3 linked regions of the Drosophila melanogaster genome follow. The protein of the gene in region 3 purifies or fractionates together with the protein of the main gene of each other region. This does not show direct contact. Each region holds a gene or a part of one and is shown on either strand. Other genes may lie near its edges. The genes, in order: beat-IIa, 18w and side-IV.

What was found.
Region 1: the proteins of side-IV (region 3) and beat-IIa purify together in Drosophila melanogaster (affinity purification with western blotting; one large-scale study listed by BioGRID). This does not show direct contact.
Region 2: the proteins of side-IV (region 3) and 18w purify together in Drosophila melanogaster (affinity purification with western blotting; one large-scale study listed by BioGRID). This does not show direct contact.

The regions. Positions count from the first base shown.
Region 1 is NT_033777.3:17,362,996-17,368,059, reverse strand, and holds the start of beat-IIa (beaten path IIa), read left to right. Parts: upstream 1-1,940; 5' UTR 1,941-2,294; intron 2,295-5,064.
Region 2 is NT_033778.4:20,109,616-20,117,491, reverse strand, and holds 18w (18 wheeler), read right to left. Parts: upstream 5,982-7,876; 5' UTR 5,608-5,981; coding exon 1,450-5,607; 3' UTR 560-1,449; downstream 1-559.
Region 3 is NT_033777.3:13,448,793-13,453,669, forward strand, and holds the start of side-IV (sidestep IV), read left to right. Parts: upstream 1-1,797; 5' UTR 1,798-2,136; intron 2,137-3,425; 5' UTR 3,426-3,638; intron 3,639-4,877.

The sequences.
Region 1 (5,064 bases), 3.9 Mb from region 3:
TAGCATTTTATAGGACGTGGAATACATTATATATGCGTACCATTTCTGGAATCTGGGGCTAAATTGGTATCACTTCAATTAAGACCCAGAGCATATGGGGAATGCTATTGCTTTCTCGGACTATGTGGCTAATCAGCGTTATGTGCGTTAAGTCAACAGCCGCATCAACATTATCATCATTATTTGTACAAAATGAAACTGGCCAAAGCCGTAGCCAAATCGAAAGCCAAAGCCAAAGCCGCACACTCACACAATTTGGCAATTTGTGGCGAACAGCGGTCAACAAAAAGCAGTTCGGGCCAAGAACCATCCAGGATGGCAGGCCAGGACCACACTGACATTCGGTCAGTCTGTCAGTCAGTCAGGCAGGCAGCCAGTTGGTTGAATTTGGATGGTGCTCGTTTTGGTGATGGTTCCGTTCCTGGCCACTCGACTACATTGATATTCCACGCTCGATGCGCGCCGCTGTTGCCATTGGTCATTGAGGCTCACTCATCCTTCGTCTCCACTCCTGGCCACTAACGATAGATGTCCTTAAGCCAGCACACACTCGCACATATTGCTATAAAAAAATATTTATCTATATGGCGATATACGGCCGGACTGCACGGCCATGGCTATGGCTATGGCTATCCGGCGATCCGGGTATCTGGGCAACTTTGTCCAAAAAATGTTGCCGGGGCCGAGCTGCGATGCTTTGTTAACTTTTTCAGTTTAATGAAATCAATTCACAAGTCACGTTGTTGCTGGACAATAAATACATCAGAGTCCATTTAATAAAATCATGATGTGCACTTTGGGATGATACCAGCTCGCCGCACATATATCAACTTTGGGTGGCCATATCGTATCGATTCGTATTCGTATTCGTGTATTGCAAATAACTTTCGGCTCTCATTGGAATGCCGCATATGACATCCCCTGTCCCCCGCAGTTCCTGTTCCTCAATTGCTCGATAAGTGCGCGGCAGTGCTAAAACTTAAATCAAAATCCACATTGAGCCACTGCAGCGTTAGCCTCCGACTCCCCGGCAATTTGTTGCGGATTCTGGCTTGGTTTTCGGTGGTTCATTATATTGATCTGTGACTTGGCTGTTTGCTTTACGTCTTTCGCACAATCATTTTTATTTGAGTGCCCCGAGAACGGCGAACAGAGTTTTTGGTGATTGGGTGGTTGGGGGGCATGGAACTGTTTTATGAGTGCATCGTTCTGGGAAAGGTACTTAATATTGGATATGAGAAACTGCCAGCCATTTTCACTTGCATAATTAATAGTAAATTGGGATTAATATTTCGGAAATTCATTAGCTTGGCAAATTCAAAACATTCTCATTATAAAAATAACGAAATTAAGGCGCTAAAATAGTATGGAACAACTATAAGATGATTCTCACGTTTTTTTGTGGTATGTAATTATAATGCATTAACTTTTCGCACTAAAAGTGCATATGCGAATCTTGATTGCCTTTATATTACTATCTATACGGTTATCAAAAACCAGCTTTTGTTCTGTTACCACTATTTTTTACTGTTTTTATACCTAATCTGCTTCTGCGCACTTCAACAGAAACAGCTGTTAATTTCAAAAGTCTGCTCCCACTATTATCCTCAGACGATGAAGGACCTTTCCCTCGCCCAGATAACTGTTCTACGCTCAGCTGATTCCGAGATTCTCTTCACAGACATAATTCTCTTAACCATGACCATAGGTAACTCAGAAAGGCTTGCACCGAACACGGCGAATTCCAGGGACATTCTCTCTTAGCCGATTCAAAATCACGGCCCAGTGTTATACAATCCGTCCGGAAACGAGAGTCGGAGACCACGAATGCCCACGAATGGAGGCGAGGACGTCGTTCGGGTGACGAAATATGCCGACTCCGATTTCTGGGTGCGTGTACACAGCCTCCGTGCATATCTGATGGCCAGCGAGCAAATCAGTCAGATGCGTGGCGAACGTTGAATTTAACGGTCGGTTTGGCAGTGAAAGTGGAAAGTGGAAGCCATCGCCGTGCTCCACGAGCCTGGCCAGCGAATTGTTTGGTGCGGAAAATAAAAACAAAAATCATAAAAAATAAGAAAAAAATACAAAAACACCCAAGGAAATATGAGAGTGAATGTTAGCCCCATAGAGGAAATACATTAAAGTGCAAAGCTCGCTGATATAATCAAGTTCAAACAATTCGAAGGAAAAGTGCTTAGGTTGAAAAGTGTTCAAACATTGCGTCAGTTAAACTCGAAAAATAAAATCAAGTGATACCACCACGCTTGGAGTTGGAGTCTGCGAATTTGCTGGTAAATTATTCAAGCAAGTTTAATTTTTCGGGGGCATAGGAGTCTTAGATCCTGTGCCGTCATAAAGTTATACAAATTATTGCCATCCTGACTGCCATTTGGTTGGCTTTAAACTTTCGGTTCACGCAGCGTTCGCATTAAATTTCTTATTTTGTTGTTTTTCTGCCTTTTATTTCTTTTCCGCTATTCGCGTGGCACATGCGGCGTATACGCAATGTATCTCCTTCTATTTTATTTGTGTGTATGCGTGAGCTTGTGTATTTGTGTGTGTGTGTATGTGTATAACCTACATTTTTGTGGTCCTCGTTGTTTTTCCACTGACAGACTGACAGTCAGACAATACCAAAAACAGGATCTTGAGTTGGGACCCCGTAACCGTGACTTGCCAGCTGAAAGTTAATTTTATGGATTTACGGCTTTTGTTTGCTCCTTCTAAATACTGACTGATCCACAAGTTGGCGATGCTCTATATCTATATATTAATTTTTTGTAATATGACCGAATAGTTTGTCCGAAAACTTCGTCTCCGTTTGGCGCAGTCCAGCGTTTGTCTTCATCAACTTGGGCTAACTTCTACCAAGTGATTGTTGATTTTGTTTGATTTGCTGTTTTTGTTTTGGTTGTAGCTGTTGGCTTTATTTGATTTTAGTACTTTGGCAGAGTCAACATTCGTTAGCAAAAATTTCGCTCACGTTCCATTCGAGCGAGCTCTCGATTTCATGAGTTTTGGATGCTGCTGGTCCGTGTTTGCTTCTCTGTTCCGCCGCTTAGCCATCACTTCTCTATATCGGAGTACATATATATTCCTATTCCTATTTCAATTTCTGTTCTTTTTTTTTTTGTCTCCAAGTGTCTCTGGATGTTTTTCCCCCTAGTTTGTTTTTTGTTTCTACCGTCACATGCACTGTGCACAGTCAGTGCGAAGTAGACAAATAAATACGAGTACATATAAATCGGGCGCATATATGCGCATTGGTCCGATGTACTTGCTGTGGCGAGTGGAGCTTAGCAGGGCTGTCCTTAAGATTATTTATGCGGTGATTAGCCGCTCTGAATTATTGCTGAAATTATCAAGTGTGCTATAAAATTTCACTGCCATTTATTTGCGCAACTTTTGGCGGGGCTCACGTACTACCAACCAAACGCCCGCCCGATCCCATCCCATTCGATCCGATCCGCCCCATCTCCGTTCACCATTTGCTCCACTTCAGTACGCTTCAAGCGGCGTCGTCTCATGTGTATCGTTGGCTCGTATTCTGCATCGGTTTGGGTTTGGGCTTGGGTTGGATTCCTGGTTCAGATTCGGGTGCTCGGGTGCGTGCGAGGGAGTGTAACAAATTGCCAGAGTTTGATTTTTAAGTGTGAAATATCGCACAACGAAATTGGATTAATTACACTGGGGCCGGTTAGATTGCGTTCGCTTTTAAAGCCAAAACCGTTGGCAAAAAATCATTTCAGATACAAAAATGGAACGCAAGGAAAAGGATTTTAAATGGAATAATCAGAAACTCCCCACCATGAATAAAAAATAGATATATTAATCCTATATACTGATGCAACACTGTGTGCTATAATTAAGTTTAATCAAGTTTAAAGAAACAAGCACTTTTAATTAAAACATCTAGAAAGGTGTTTGCAGAAGTACAACTTATTTATGAGTGGGCTCCAGAACTAATCGTTCATCTCTTGTTCAACATCCAGCTGTGGGCCACTGCTGATTATTCACTTATCTATATTGTTTATGAAGATACCATTTCCCCTGGCGCTGGAGATGAGGGTCCAAAAACTAAACATAAACGGCTTGTAGAGCCAAATAAGGATTATCCTGCCGGGCCGAGGGAAATGAGATTTTACAGGAGCCGCTGGCCCCGCCCACTTTCAACAGCGCCCACTTAGCTGGCAACTAATTGCCTAAGCCCCAACCTGAATCCAAATGAGATGATAAAGCTGGATCTGCGGCCAGTCCGAAGTCTGAGCTCTACTGAGATTAATTACATTTAAATAAACAGGAATGGCTGCAAACATGGCCAAGACCGCAACAGTTACATGAACAATTCAACCGAACAGACAACAATAGACAGTCGACAACTCACTCAACTCCACTCGTCCGGATTCAATTGAATCACTTCCATTGGGCTACTTTAAGCTGATTACATGCAGAGTTTGGCTTGAGATATACATTTTACATAGACTAAATCATTAGCTTTTGTTTTTGCAAAACCAGCAAATTTCACCTACCAGGAAAACGTTGTACATTTGATAAGGGTATCGATGGTGAGAAAATCTACAGTGCTGTTTGAAATATTAGTGGTAAAAGAATTAGTAGCAAAGGATTAGAAGTTAAGGGAAAAAGAATCCTTATCTCAATCTGAATTAAAATTTGGCAGTATTTCCAAGTTTGATTAAGCAAAAATAAAAAGATTCGTGCCTATTATAGCTCTTGACCAACTATAACTCGGGTTTTGGACGCAGCTGTACATGTTATATTTTTGGGTGAATGAAAGTCAAAGCCGAGTTTAATGCCGGACTTAGTGATAGCAATAGCCCTTTGCATATGGCAAATGCCCAATGATTTATGACTGGAACGGGTCGACGCAGTCAGCAGACTTTGTCCCGCTCACAATTGGTGGGGAAAAGCGTGAAAAACTGTCGGCCACATGGAAAATCTCGGTGTGAGTGGGGTAATGTGGGCAGAGCGGCAGAGTAAATTCAATTTTACGTTTCACAACTCAGCATGATTTCTATCAAGCCGGGGGAATCCCCTTTTCCA
Region 2 (7,876 bases), on a different chromosome or scaffold from region 3:
AAGCATGAAAATACTGTGGGGCGGCAAAAAAAAAACAAAAAACGGGGAATATGCAATTGCAAATGGCGAGTTAAGCAAATGTGCAAAATACAATTTTCGCATTGGACCGCATTTTAATTTTGTTTTATAATTTCGCAAATAATAATTTACATAAAAGAATGTCCGAGTGTGGGAGTGGTTGTGGCATATGCAAAGTGTTTGTTTGAGTGCGTTTTCCATTAATTTATTTATGTACAATTATTTACAAGCAATTAACTTGCGCATAGCTTTTGTTTAGTTGGTTTTCGCAATTCAGTTATGCGTTTGGGTTTTAGTTAACGTTTGCATTGTGACCTTTTGCATTTCGCACAGATCAAATGCCGAATGGAAATGAATAAACTACCATTTTCCTCTTTCAGTCCTTCTGGGAATAGTGTCAGTTGCATGTTTGGGGACACAGCAGGCTTCGCTTCTGCGAAAACCATAGGTGCTTTAATTAATTTTTATCATTTTGGTGTTGCTTCAAACAAAAATTCCCCCTGAATTCCACCCGGGATGAGTAAGAAAACGTGTGTGATTTAATTTTTGTCAATATTTTGTAATGTTTTTGCATTTTATTTTCTCAGATATATTTCTCTGCTTGGTTTTATGTAATTGTAATAATTAATTTAATAATACATTTTTTCATTAAGTAAATTTAATTGAATTAATTTAGCTCCATCATCTCTATACAGTACGATACATAAATACATTAAGTGCTCTAAATGGGTTTGCTCCTGCGATTTTTCTATATACATATAAGTTTATCAAGTATTCATTTAGTTATTGTTTCGTGTAGCTTAGGATGAATGAATCGACAAACACGATCAACTGGATGCGAACGAATGTGTGTACATATTTCATTAGGTTTACTTTAAGTTGTAGTTAACAATAGTTTAGTTTAGTTTAGTTTTAGGTTTACGTTCTTTACGCCTGGCTAGAACTACTACATACGTCTACGCATTACAGTAAGGGGCATACTCTCGTCTGCCGATTTAATTATAGTTAATTAATATATCACATTGAATTTGAAAGTGTTTCTGCAACATTTCTAGTAATTGTTTCTTTACGTTTATGGTAATTATATTAGAATAATGTATTCCTATATGCTCGTATATGAATGTGTTGTGGGCGTGTCTTGTGCGTGTTCCTTATTTGGCAGTGCTACACAACTACGAAACTTCAACAACCACAACATCCAAAGGCGAAATGCTCCGACAAAAAAAATACGTATAAATATATTGTGTTTCAAGAAATGCCTACGAAAAGTCTTTTTGTTTTGGATGTGAGTGTGTTGGTGTGTGCGTCCTGTTCCTGCTTCCTCTTCCCGAGTCCTTTTACGCCAGTGAGCGATCAGCTTCAAGATGGCCGCTCCTGCGGAGAAGAACCCTGCGAGGCTGAGTGAGATGGATATGGCCATAGGGGGAGTTTTTAGACCAGGAAAGCTTGGCCGTTCTTATTGGCCGCTTCACTGCCAGCTGCCTGTTGCTGCTGCTGTTGCTGTTGCTGCTGCGCCGCTGCTGCGGATGTGGAGGCCTGGGCCGTTGACTGAGTGCTGGTGCTGGCCTGGCTCAAACCACTGCCGCTGCGCAGGTGCACCGGCGCGGAAGGAGCGGGAATCGCCTGCTGCGGCATCGCCCGGAACTGCGGTTGCAGCAAGCGCTGTTGCTGCTGCTGTTGTTGTTGCTGATGCAGACGCAACTGCTGCTGCTGGTGCTGATGCATTAGGCCCGTGGGAATCATCGACAGCGCCTCATGCTGATCATACGCACTGTACTCCGACTCGATGCTGTGGTAGATGTGCTCTGAGGGCGGACGCATCGGCATGGGCATAGAGTCCACGATCCTAGCGGCTCCTCCTGGTCTCGTTGGGCGTGGTGATGGCGTGGCCGTGGTGGCTGAGCTATAGTTCGCCTCCATTTCCTCGGTGCAGTAGTAGGCTGGCGGTGGTGGCGCCTGGCGGAAGATCATGCCCGGCGACACTGGCTGCTTGAAGCGCTCATGATGGTCCAATGTGTAGTTGTTTCCACGGGGCGACAGCTCAATTGGGATGGCGTAGCGCAGCTTCTCCCAGAAGTATCTGTCGCAGGTCAGCAGTCGGTTGGAGGGTACCGATTTCAAGTACGGCGACAACTCGGCAACGTCCTCGGCCTCGGCGGAAACACTTGTCTCCTCGATGATCACCAGCTTCTGGGCCAAGCCCCTCAGGGACTCGTGGAAAGCATTACGGAACTCAATGCGATTCCATTCGGTGGCCAAGAGATTGCGGGTCAGCACCAGGATGATCTTCCTCGACGCCCTTGCTCCCTCCACCAGCTGAAGGTGGGATGCCTGGGGAGGCAGATCTCGCTGCTGAATGCAGAGCCGGAAGGGTGGTCGACCATGCTCCAGTTCGGCGGCGATGTTGCGGCACACAAACTCGTAGTCCTTCTCCGAGTGCAGGATGATGGCGTCGTACAGTTTGCCGGCATCCTCGAAGCGGGGCTCGCACACCCTGACTCCGTAGTGGGCGAAGAGCCACATGCGCACGCTCTCGCGGAAGACGAAGACAATGATGAGCACCACGACCAGGAAGATCAGCACTAGCACAGCGGCCAACAAGGGCAGCCTATAGCCTCCGGCCAAATCCTGCGAGGAGCTGATATTGCTGGCACTGGCATCCAGAAGGTCGGAACAATCGGGTCCGTTGGCCAGGTTGCCAATCAGTTCCAGCTCGCGCTTGATGCCCGCATCCAAGCAGTAGATATCGTGGGCATCCCGCACCACCATGGCGTTATCGGAGACAAACTGCGCCAATTCCCTCAACTGCTGGCAGCGGCATGACCAGGCATTTCTGCCCAGCGTCAGTCCCTGGAGGCTGTGACGATATTGCAAATGGGGCAGGGAACTCAGGCGGTTGTTGTCCAGACGCAGCACCTCCAGGGACACCAGTGGCTCAAAGGTGGCATTCGAGATGTGGGTCAGCATGTTGTTGTGCAGATACAGCTCCCGCAAAAGTCCCAGGGAGCGGAACTCGGTGCCTTCCAGGGCGGTTAGTTTGTTGTTCTCCAAGTGGAGCACTCGAAGATTGACCAACTGGGCCAGACTTCCGTTCTGCAGCGTCATCAGATTGGAGGCGTTCAGGTAGAGAGCCCGCAGATTGCGACGACCGGTTAGGTGGCCAACCTCCAGCTCGGGCATGTTGTTGCCATCCAAGTAGAGATCGCTCACATCCTGAGGGATACGGTTGGGCAGGGCGGCCAGATCCTGGCGACCGCAGTCCACGATGTTGGTGGCCCAGGTGGCGTCGTGGAAGCAGCTGCAGTTTCCAGGGCAGATCACTTCACACTCGCACTGTTCGTACTCGCAGCAGTGGCACGTGGGCGGGCAGTGGCTCTCATACTTGCACACAAAGTCGGAGGCGGAGAGACTGGCCAGCGGACGCAGTGGAGCACTGCGGCTGTGCGGCATCAGGCACTCGATGTTTCCCAGATCCACAACATGAGGATGCTGGCGGGTGGTCAGATTGTTAATCCTCTGCAGCCACTCCATGGAGCAATCGCACTCAAAGGGATTGCCGCCCAGGTAAAACTCGGGAACTGGTTTCTCCGCTGAAACTGGGGCTACGCGTAGAGCATTAAGCGAGATTTTGGACAGCACATTGGCATACAGATCCACGCGTGCCAGACGCGTCTTGTCCACAAAGGTGTTGGCCTGGATCTGTCCAATGATGTTGTTGTTGATGAACAGCAGCTCGATGGAATTCGGCACCGACATGGCGCCAATCTCCGTGATGCGGTTGTGAGAGGCATCCAGCGTGGTCACACGAATCTCCTCTTGCAGTTTGTAGTAGTTGCCCAGGGCTTCGATGTAGTTTCCATGGATATCCAGCCATTTCAAGTTCGATGGGATGAAGGCGTAATCGAACCAAACAAGGTGATTCTCGGAGAGATTCAGCCACAGCAAGGAGGCGAGAGTGGCAAAGATTCCATTGATGTCGGTGAGGAAGTTCTTGTCCAATCGGATCGCCTCGATCTCGGTGTTTTTGTCGAAGGCTCCACGCTCGATGCTCTGGATGCGGTTCTTGGCCAGGTTGAGAACACTCAAACGGGGCAGATCCTGAAACATGCCTACGGTGATGTTGCCGATGCGATTGTCGATCAATCGCAGACCCGTCAGCTGATTGAGATTGCGGAAGGTGTTGTTCTTGAATTCCGAGATCTGATTCTCTCCGAGATCGAGAGTCTTGAGCATGCTCAAATCTTGCACAGCCTCGGGCACTTCAGTCAGCTGATTGGAGCTGAGATCCAGTTCCTTCAGATCGGAACAGTTGCGGAAGGCTTGCGACTCCACAATGCTAACAAGATTGTTGTTTAGCGTGAGTTTCGTCAGCACATACAATCCGTTGAAGATGCGGTTGTCCAGTGTGTGCAGGCGATTCTCGGCGAGATTGAGGGTGTGCAGATTGTACAGGGGCAGGAATGCGCCCTCCTCAATGTGGCCAATGGAGTTGTTTCGCATGTCCAGAATCTGCAGGAAGTACAGCTCCTTGAAGGTTTTGGATCCAATGCGGGTGAGGGCATTGTTCGACAGATTCAGCACAATCAGGCGGATCAGACCGGCGAAGGTGCTGTTGTCAACATGGTGGCTGGTCAGCTGATTGCCACTCAGATCGAGAACTAACAGCTGCTCCAGACGGTGCAACAGACCTTTGGGCAATTCGTACAGATCATTGCCCTGCAGATGCAGTTCCCTCAACTCCTTGTTGCCGGCAAAGGCTTCTGAGGGCAGGGAAACGAGGTGGTTGTACGAGATATTCAGCACTCGCAGCGAACTCAGACCGGCCAGGGCATTGGGAGCCAGGGTGCTGATGTTGTTGTGTTGCAGGCTGAGGGTCTGCAGGCGCCTCAATCGGGACGCTCCCCAGGCATCCGGCAAAGAACGCAGCTCGTTGAACGAGACATCCAATGTCTGCAGCTCTGAGCCTCCGCTAACTGCTCCATTGGCATTGCTCAGGGCTGAGCCGGCACAGAGTTTCTCGGAGAAGCCTAGGAACTCGGCGGAACGTATCCGGTTCTGGGTGAGATTGAGCAGTTGCAGGCTGGGCATGGAGCACCAGACGCCCTCGGGCAACTGACGGATATTGTTGTCGCCCAAGTGCAGCTCGGACAGCTCCTTCAGTCCCTGGAACGACTGGCCGTGCAACTCCAGGGTCTTTCCCGGACCCCAGACCGCGTTGTGTGACTCCAGGGTGAGTCGCTTGAGCGACATCAGACCCTCAAATGCATTTGGAGGCACTCGCTGCAGTTTGCAGGCATCGATTCGCAGCTCCGAGAGCTTCTGCAGTTGCCGGAAGAGTCCCGGTGCCAGTTCACTGGCATGCAGGAGCTCCTGGCTGCACTGCAGATCCAGGCGGCCGGCCGCCTCCGCCACCTGGAGGTCAAGTGGCGTTCCGGTGCCGGACTCCAGAGCGCGGACACTGCACCGGATGTCCATGGTGGTGAGGCCGTACTGCCAGTTGCACTGCTGCTGCGCATGCGCATCAGCCACAAGAAGCAACAGGCAGGCAGCGACTGCGATGATGGTGATGATGGAAGATGTGGCTGGCATTTTGGTGATTTGCTAGTTGGCTAGTTAACTTTAAATGAATTTGTTTAATTTGTAGCTTTTTAGCTGTAGGTTGTGGGTTGCGTTGGTGGTGCACAACTCAATCACTTTCTGGTTTTCATTTTTCGATCGCCTTTTTCGCAGCCCGAGTGCTCTGTAATCCTGGTGTGAGCTGGCTTTGCGTTTTGCGATTTTTCACTTTCGTTTCGTTTCTTTGTGATTTCTCTCAACTCAACTCATAAGTTGGTAACTTGCGTATTTTATAATAATAATTTTAACTTGGCACTTGGCGCGACTCAGGGTGTTCGACTTCGTTTCGTTCGGCGAGAGCTCGTTTTCTCAAAACATGTTTACCGCCTCGCGTTTCGATTCAAACTGATTGCTGGAGTTGGCCATCTCGACTCCGTTGGCTCGTTGAAAATGTGAAACCGACGACGGCGCTGCCGAGCTGGCAGAGCTCACACACACACAGCCGGCGCCGCGGCAGACAGACAACACGGTACGCGTGCATGTGCATGTGCATGTGCAATGCACTCTCACGAGCGAGCACACACACATGCCACGCTGTCGCTGCGCTGCTTTCGCTCTCTGCTCTGCTGCTGATACACGCACACACACAAGCACTGCATTTCCTGCCTGCTGCATATGTCGCTCACACACACGCTTGGGAGAGCGGAGCTCTCTCTCTCTCTCCCCGAAAGTAGGGGAAATGTTGCACACACACATGGGCATGGAATGGGGGAAACAGAAATCATTAACCCTACGCTGCGCTCTCTCAGATTTCCGTCCACACAATTAGCACTAGGAAATGGAATAATTCCGTGGGGTTAGGATGGGTTATCAGCTATCACTGATAGTTCGACTTGCCTCAAGTGGGAATTATTTCAAAATTAACTGAGGGCATTAAAAAGCTATCTGATCATTTGTAAGTGCACTGTATTAAATCGATGCTTTTACAAATATAAACAAATATATAGCAGTGGTTCGGCTTATTAACACTTATTTCAATTTAAAGATCACAAAATTGAATTTAAATAAAGTTTTGTCTTCTTATTTTGTATAAATAACTTTAGAAATTGTGTATTTCCAACCGCCTAGATTCTATATAGGGTTAATAGAACCTGCAACAGGCTGCTGCTGCTGCTAGTTGGCAACATTTCGCCCCTGCCCACCCCCTTAACGATGAAAATTCTCCGGCTCAGTTCGCTTTGTCGCCTCGTGTTGCACTCGCGATATGTGTTGCATGTATATGGTGTAGTATGTTGCCTCAGTTTCAGCATGTTGCATGCTGCTTGCCTCTTAACAGCTGCTGATGTTGCTGCTGTTGTTGCAGTTGCAATTGCTTTTACTGTTGCTGCTAGTGCTTTTGGTGCTTTGGACCACGTTTTCTGCGGTTCTCCGCAGTGTTTTGTTGTCGTAAAATGCCTAATCTATTGTCGTATGCTAAATATATTTTAGTAATATTGGTGGTGTGTGTTGCAGCAGTTGCTGTCAAACATTTCATTGGGCTTCTTGGTGGGAGTTCGAATTTGTGACATTTGCACTGGCAGACTAGTCTTTAGGTTTCTTGTAGCGAAGTAAAAACTCCTGTAAATCCCGTTTTTTTTTTTTAGAATTGAAAACATCCGTAATGGGTTGTTTGAGTTTTGACTTTGCTGCCATTTCAAGTGGTGAAATTATTTGCTACACAAAAAAAGCCACACATATTTGGCACTTTGAGTGGCTCATGGAAACTTGTTGGTGCTCTTTATTGCCATTGCCATTTGCTTCATCATAATTTTCAGGTTTATTTACTCGCAGCTACTGCTGATGCTCGCCTCTCGGACCATAAATATCGCACATGAGTGTTGCATGCGACGGCAACAGCAGCACCATCAGTAGTAGCAATATTACAGTTTGAATACCACTATTATGCCAACTTGTGATTGCAACTGCGGCAAATGGGCTTCACGGAACTCCGGATGGTTTAGCGTCACTTGGGTTCGCTGTTCTAATTTCGCAGGTCTCTATCACCTGGCTGGCTTTTTCGGCTGTCGACTTATGCCACTTAAAATTACATTAAAAAACTTTCCGCCAAGAGCAACAACTTTGCTGCTGCTGCCCTACTCCCCAAAAAAAAACTGAAAGCTACAAAAAAAAAAAAAACAAGAAACGTAGAGTTGGAAACTTTGCCCGGCTTTTGCCATCCCAATGCTGCTGCCGTTCTAGTTGCTGTTGCTATTGGTGTTCCTCCTGTTGCTGCTGCGTTTCTGTCCCGCTTTGTTTTTGTGGC
Region 3 (4,877 bases):
GGTTTTTCGGGATATTTGGGAGTCGGTTTATCTTGGGGGATGCGGCGCGGCGCATTCACGTGCCAGGCTTTTGATCTGTTTAGCATTCCGTGGCACATCGGAAAGTCGTAACTATTGACAAGATCTGGAGCACCACCAAACGGTCAGGTCATTGGAGAGAAATGTCTGGGAGTCGAATGCATTTCATGCGGCACTCGTGTATTTGTTTGCATTAATTTGTATATGTTACTTTAACGATTTAATGCCCAGCACGGCACCGACCCGACGCAGATTCCATAGAAACGGGAGGGGAATCGATTCGAGTCCAGGCCAGGCACGGGCACCCAATGGAGTTCGATCCCCCATTCACCATTCACCATTCCCCAATCCCAGGTGACTGCACTCGGCGGGGATTTTTCTCTGGCTTTTTGGTTTGGTTTTGGCCGGGCGCAAATTGCTCGGGCGCTTCTTTACTACTTCCTTTCCATATCAAATTGTGTGGATATTGCGCATCAATCACTTGATAAAGAACAACAATGCAGCAGCACTCGCATGATGAATAACATCTGCTCTGGTCGAATCTGAATTAAGGCGCAATGTTGTGCCGCAAAAGTGAATAATTCAGGCGAGCAAATATTGTTCGATTTAATTAATTTCCAATTGGCTGTCTAGGGGATTATTATTCATCGCGAAGGCTCATTTCCGACAGGCCTCATTTTCCAGTGCTTGAAAAATATTTTACTTGGCTTTAATTTGCTGTGTACTAAGGTGTAATTTTTCTTAATATGTAGCGGATGCATGCAGGAAGTACAAATTTAAACAAAAATAATCCATTTACCGCTGTTTGCATTCAAACAATAAAACAAAATCCGAATTGGAATTTTCTTTTCTTAACATTTTCGAAGAAAATCTTTTAAAAGATGCTCGTTTAAATAAAGTATTTAGGTTAAAAACACTATTAGGAAAAATCGAAGAATGATTATAATACAATTTGTTTAAGTTTCCTTTGTAAGTGTATTTTAAAATGTTGCTATAAACCAAATTGTAGTAAGCTAATGTACTACATACAAAAAATTAGATGTCCAATTTTATAGACAATAAATAAACAAAGGTTTCTTAATATCTTCATAAGTTTTGCCATCGCTGAATAGCAATTTAAAATGCTTTTCTATCATCTAGGCAACAACTTTCAAGTCAAGCAGGCCTAATACTTGGGCCTAACTTAATGTGGAAATCCCCCAACAACATCCGCGAATATTTGCCAAAACGATTATTCATCTGTTAAGCAGGGAGTATCTGCTGCCGATATGGAACATGGTGTAATCGTGTCTAGCTCTAATTACTTTTACAGCGACAACTTTTATCGCCCATCGCAGCGAATATCTCCGGATTGAGGGGCAATCTTTACGCATAAATAAGCAGAAAGTGGGTGGTGGGTTCTTTTGTTGGCGACCCGTAAGAAGAGGAAATTTGTCAATACCACTTTTAGTAGTGGCTTTTAAAGCAGGAGGGCTAAAGGCATACGCATACGATATAGGTCGCTGTTAAGATCCGAATATCGTATGCCAAGTTTCGTGTGGCTCGCTCTTTCGGGCATTTCTCTTCGGCTGGCTATTCGAATTTCGAGTTTCGAACTCAAATCAAAGCAGACGTCGCGAGGAAAACGCATCGACGAGTGGAACTCCGACGATGGGTATCCAGTAGATACGCGAAGCTATAACGGTACACATGTTGCTGTCGGAAAACGCGAGCGGTCCAAGTGGAAATGTAGCCCAATCCGTTCGCACCAGGGTTTCCATTTAAAGCGCTCCCTCGCACAAATACACACACACACACCGAAACACGGACACACTCGTACACTCACACACTCGCAACGTAACGCACACCAACGCGTATTCGCACCCACACACAAGTGAAGTCGGCTCTGCAAACGCACAAGTGCGGTGTATCTGTGTGAGTAGCCATAGAAGAGGTGTTTGGCATTGTGCTCAGGATACAGGATTTGGTGGCCAAGTGCTTAATAAAACCATCATAAACCCCAAAAACCATCAAAAGTGATAAATGCAAATATACCCCTAATGAATGAATACAAGCAATCGCAAAAGTGTGTGGCCTCAAGGAGCCAAGCCAAGTATAATCCCAACCATTGGCCAAGTGGTAATGCATCGTCGGATTAAATCTTACCGGTTTACAACAGCACTCGAATCTCTAATGGGCCTTGTATTTACCAAAATCTCTTCAATAAAAACGAAATCTTAATTTCTGACTTAAACATGTGCTAAAAGCTATTGAAAAATTAAACTTGTAAAGTTACTCAGTGGCTTACTAACTCCAATGACCCTTTAAAGTTTATCATAATACTTTGAGTGCTGAGTATAAATTTAAAAAACATAAGAAAAAGGTCATGGTTTAAACTTGTAATGCAGTAAAATATTGCCTACCAAATTGGAATTTATTCAATTAACGTAAAGCAAATTTCGTATTGCTGAGTTTTTGAGTAAAATAGTTCGAAGCCTTTATATAATTGCATTCCCCCAAGCCCCCAAGAACTGCTGCAAAAGTATTTAAATTATTTTGTTAAAAACCACGACAACAACGGGCGGCTGAATTCTCTGTCTGAAACCTCAAGGATTAGCCATGGAAAAAGAAATATTTATAAAAGCGGAAAAAATCTTATGAAAATCCCGGCAGACTAAAATAGCAACAAACGTTGCCGCGGCTGACTTTGAAAATTGCTCCACTTCGGTTCCAAGCTCCCTTCCGCTTCCCCCAGTTCCCAACTCCAGTTGCCACCACTTCAGCGGATCCACTCCACTCGAAGGAAGGGCTGGCTGCTCGGTTTGCGGTGCCGTGCCTCGAGTTCGTCGATAATTGGAATTTACGACTGTGGCATACAACAAAAAAAAAAAAACAGAGAGAAGGAATACGGACTACAAGGCTGCAAGGATATGGCCTCGGCACGGGCGTCGTTGTTTGGTGACTCGTTGCCATTTCCCCTGATCCCTGAACCACTCCCCTCCAGACACCTTCCACAATCAGATGTCCCTTTAACCCGGCCCTACGATAGTCGGGCGCCGTGTAAATATTTTTTTGTCATCGCTCCCTGTGCGCGGTTCAGTTCAATTGGCCCTGTCAGTGGCAGGCGCGCTGATTTGTTATGGTAATAGTTGTCAAAACGAGAGCAGATTCGAGAGATCCTCCACGGCACTTGATTACACTTGGCCACAATGACAAACGTGCGGATAGTGCATACATATATATGTATATATATGTATGGATATATAGTAAATGAAGTGTGAGCTTAACGAAATCAAAACTAAATTGCCAAGGGAGGTGCGAAACGTAAATCTTGGCCAATTAAGAGTGCAATTGGTTTTTGTGCGAGTTTCAAGTTCGTTAAGAGGTTCGGGTTTCTTAACCATCTATCTCTTTCGGTTTCATCGCAGATTCATCCGTTCAGACGGCGTGTCTGCGGCTCATTAGAGAAAAAACTAGCTGGCCAACAAAATAAAACAAAGTAACAAATCCAAACCAAACCAAAAGCATAGTCGAAATCGAATCGAAATCAAACAACGCGAAGCAAACTGTAGCAGGGCAGTATAAAAACAACATGGAATATTGAATGAAATCGGACGGGATATATGCACATACATTAGCAGGTGAGTTATCTGGCTGCTTATTTCCCTCAAAATTTATGCTCATGCATATCTGCATAATCGCAAATTAAGCTACATAATTAATAAGCCAGGAGCCACAGCCTCATCGCTGTCACTCGGCGTTGATGTAGCACTTTAGGGAGGCTATCAGCCGATGCCTTGCCTTGCCTTTGCTTCTGGCCATCTTGCTACTCGCATATCGGGTTATACTATATGGGCGGCTAAAGGCTATAGCATATGTGTACGTGCCACTGCTTTTCGAAAAGTATCGATGTCTGTAATCTTAATTAGCAACACCACAGCAACCGGCAACAGAGACAACATCGGCAACCCAGCAAACGGGGCTCACAAACATCTTTTAGCATTTCAAGCATGGCGTATCCGTACACTGCTGCCTTTTCCTCGGCTTTCCTATGCACTGCAAGAAATATAATTGTTTTTTCTTATAAAATTATTAAATGTCAGCGTGTCTAGTACAACAGCAGAAATCCATTAAAACAATTGTGTGCTTAGCCATAATGTGAAACCAGTTATATCGTAATAAAGTCAAAAGTCGAAAAACACATATTTTAAGATTAGAAATGCTTACGAATTTTTCAAAAGAAGATTCCAATGAATACGTTTCATCATATTGAATTAGCATTTCTTTATAAGCATTGTGCTACCGCAATGTTTTCAAAATAAAATATGTTGTACTCATTTTATTTAAATAATATCTTGGTCAGCCTAGGACAATATTTTTTCCAGTGTGGGGCTTTTTTCTGGCTATTTCTCACAAAAATCACATTACATCGAACGCCGAAACCGGTTTCGGTTGATTTCTTGTCATATTTCGTGTAGAAGCTAAAGGTGTTTTGTACAAATGGCCAGCAAACTAAACAAACTAAAGTCGCCGGCCAGCTCACGACCGGCTGCCCATCAAAGAGTTATTTATACTTATTAATGCCGACGATGAGTCCGAGTCCCCCATACACCTCCAATTCCCCGCAGATAGTCGTACGGCATCCCTAGTTTTAGTTTGTTGGAGTATGCAAATATCGTTGATCTGCTTTCAGGCTGAAAAATTCGCACCTCCATGTGCGAACAAAGCGCCCATGGGGCCACCGATTTGAGTGCATAGGAAATCAAGTTTACGACTTCTGCGGATTCTCCGCTGGGAGAAAGGGTAATATATTTGGCGGGGGCTGACGTTTTAATTGCTTCCATTAGAAATCGCTTAGCGACTTTAAGTGGCAGCCAGCA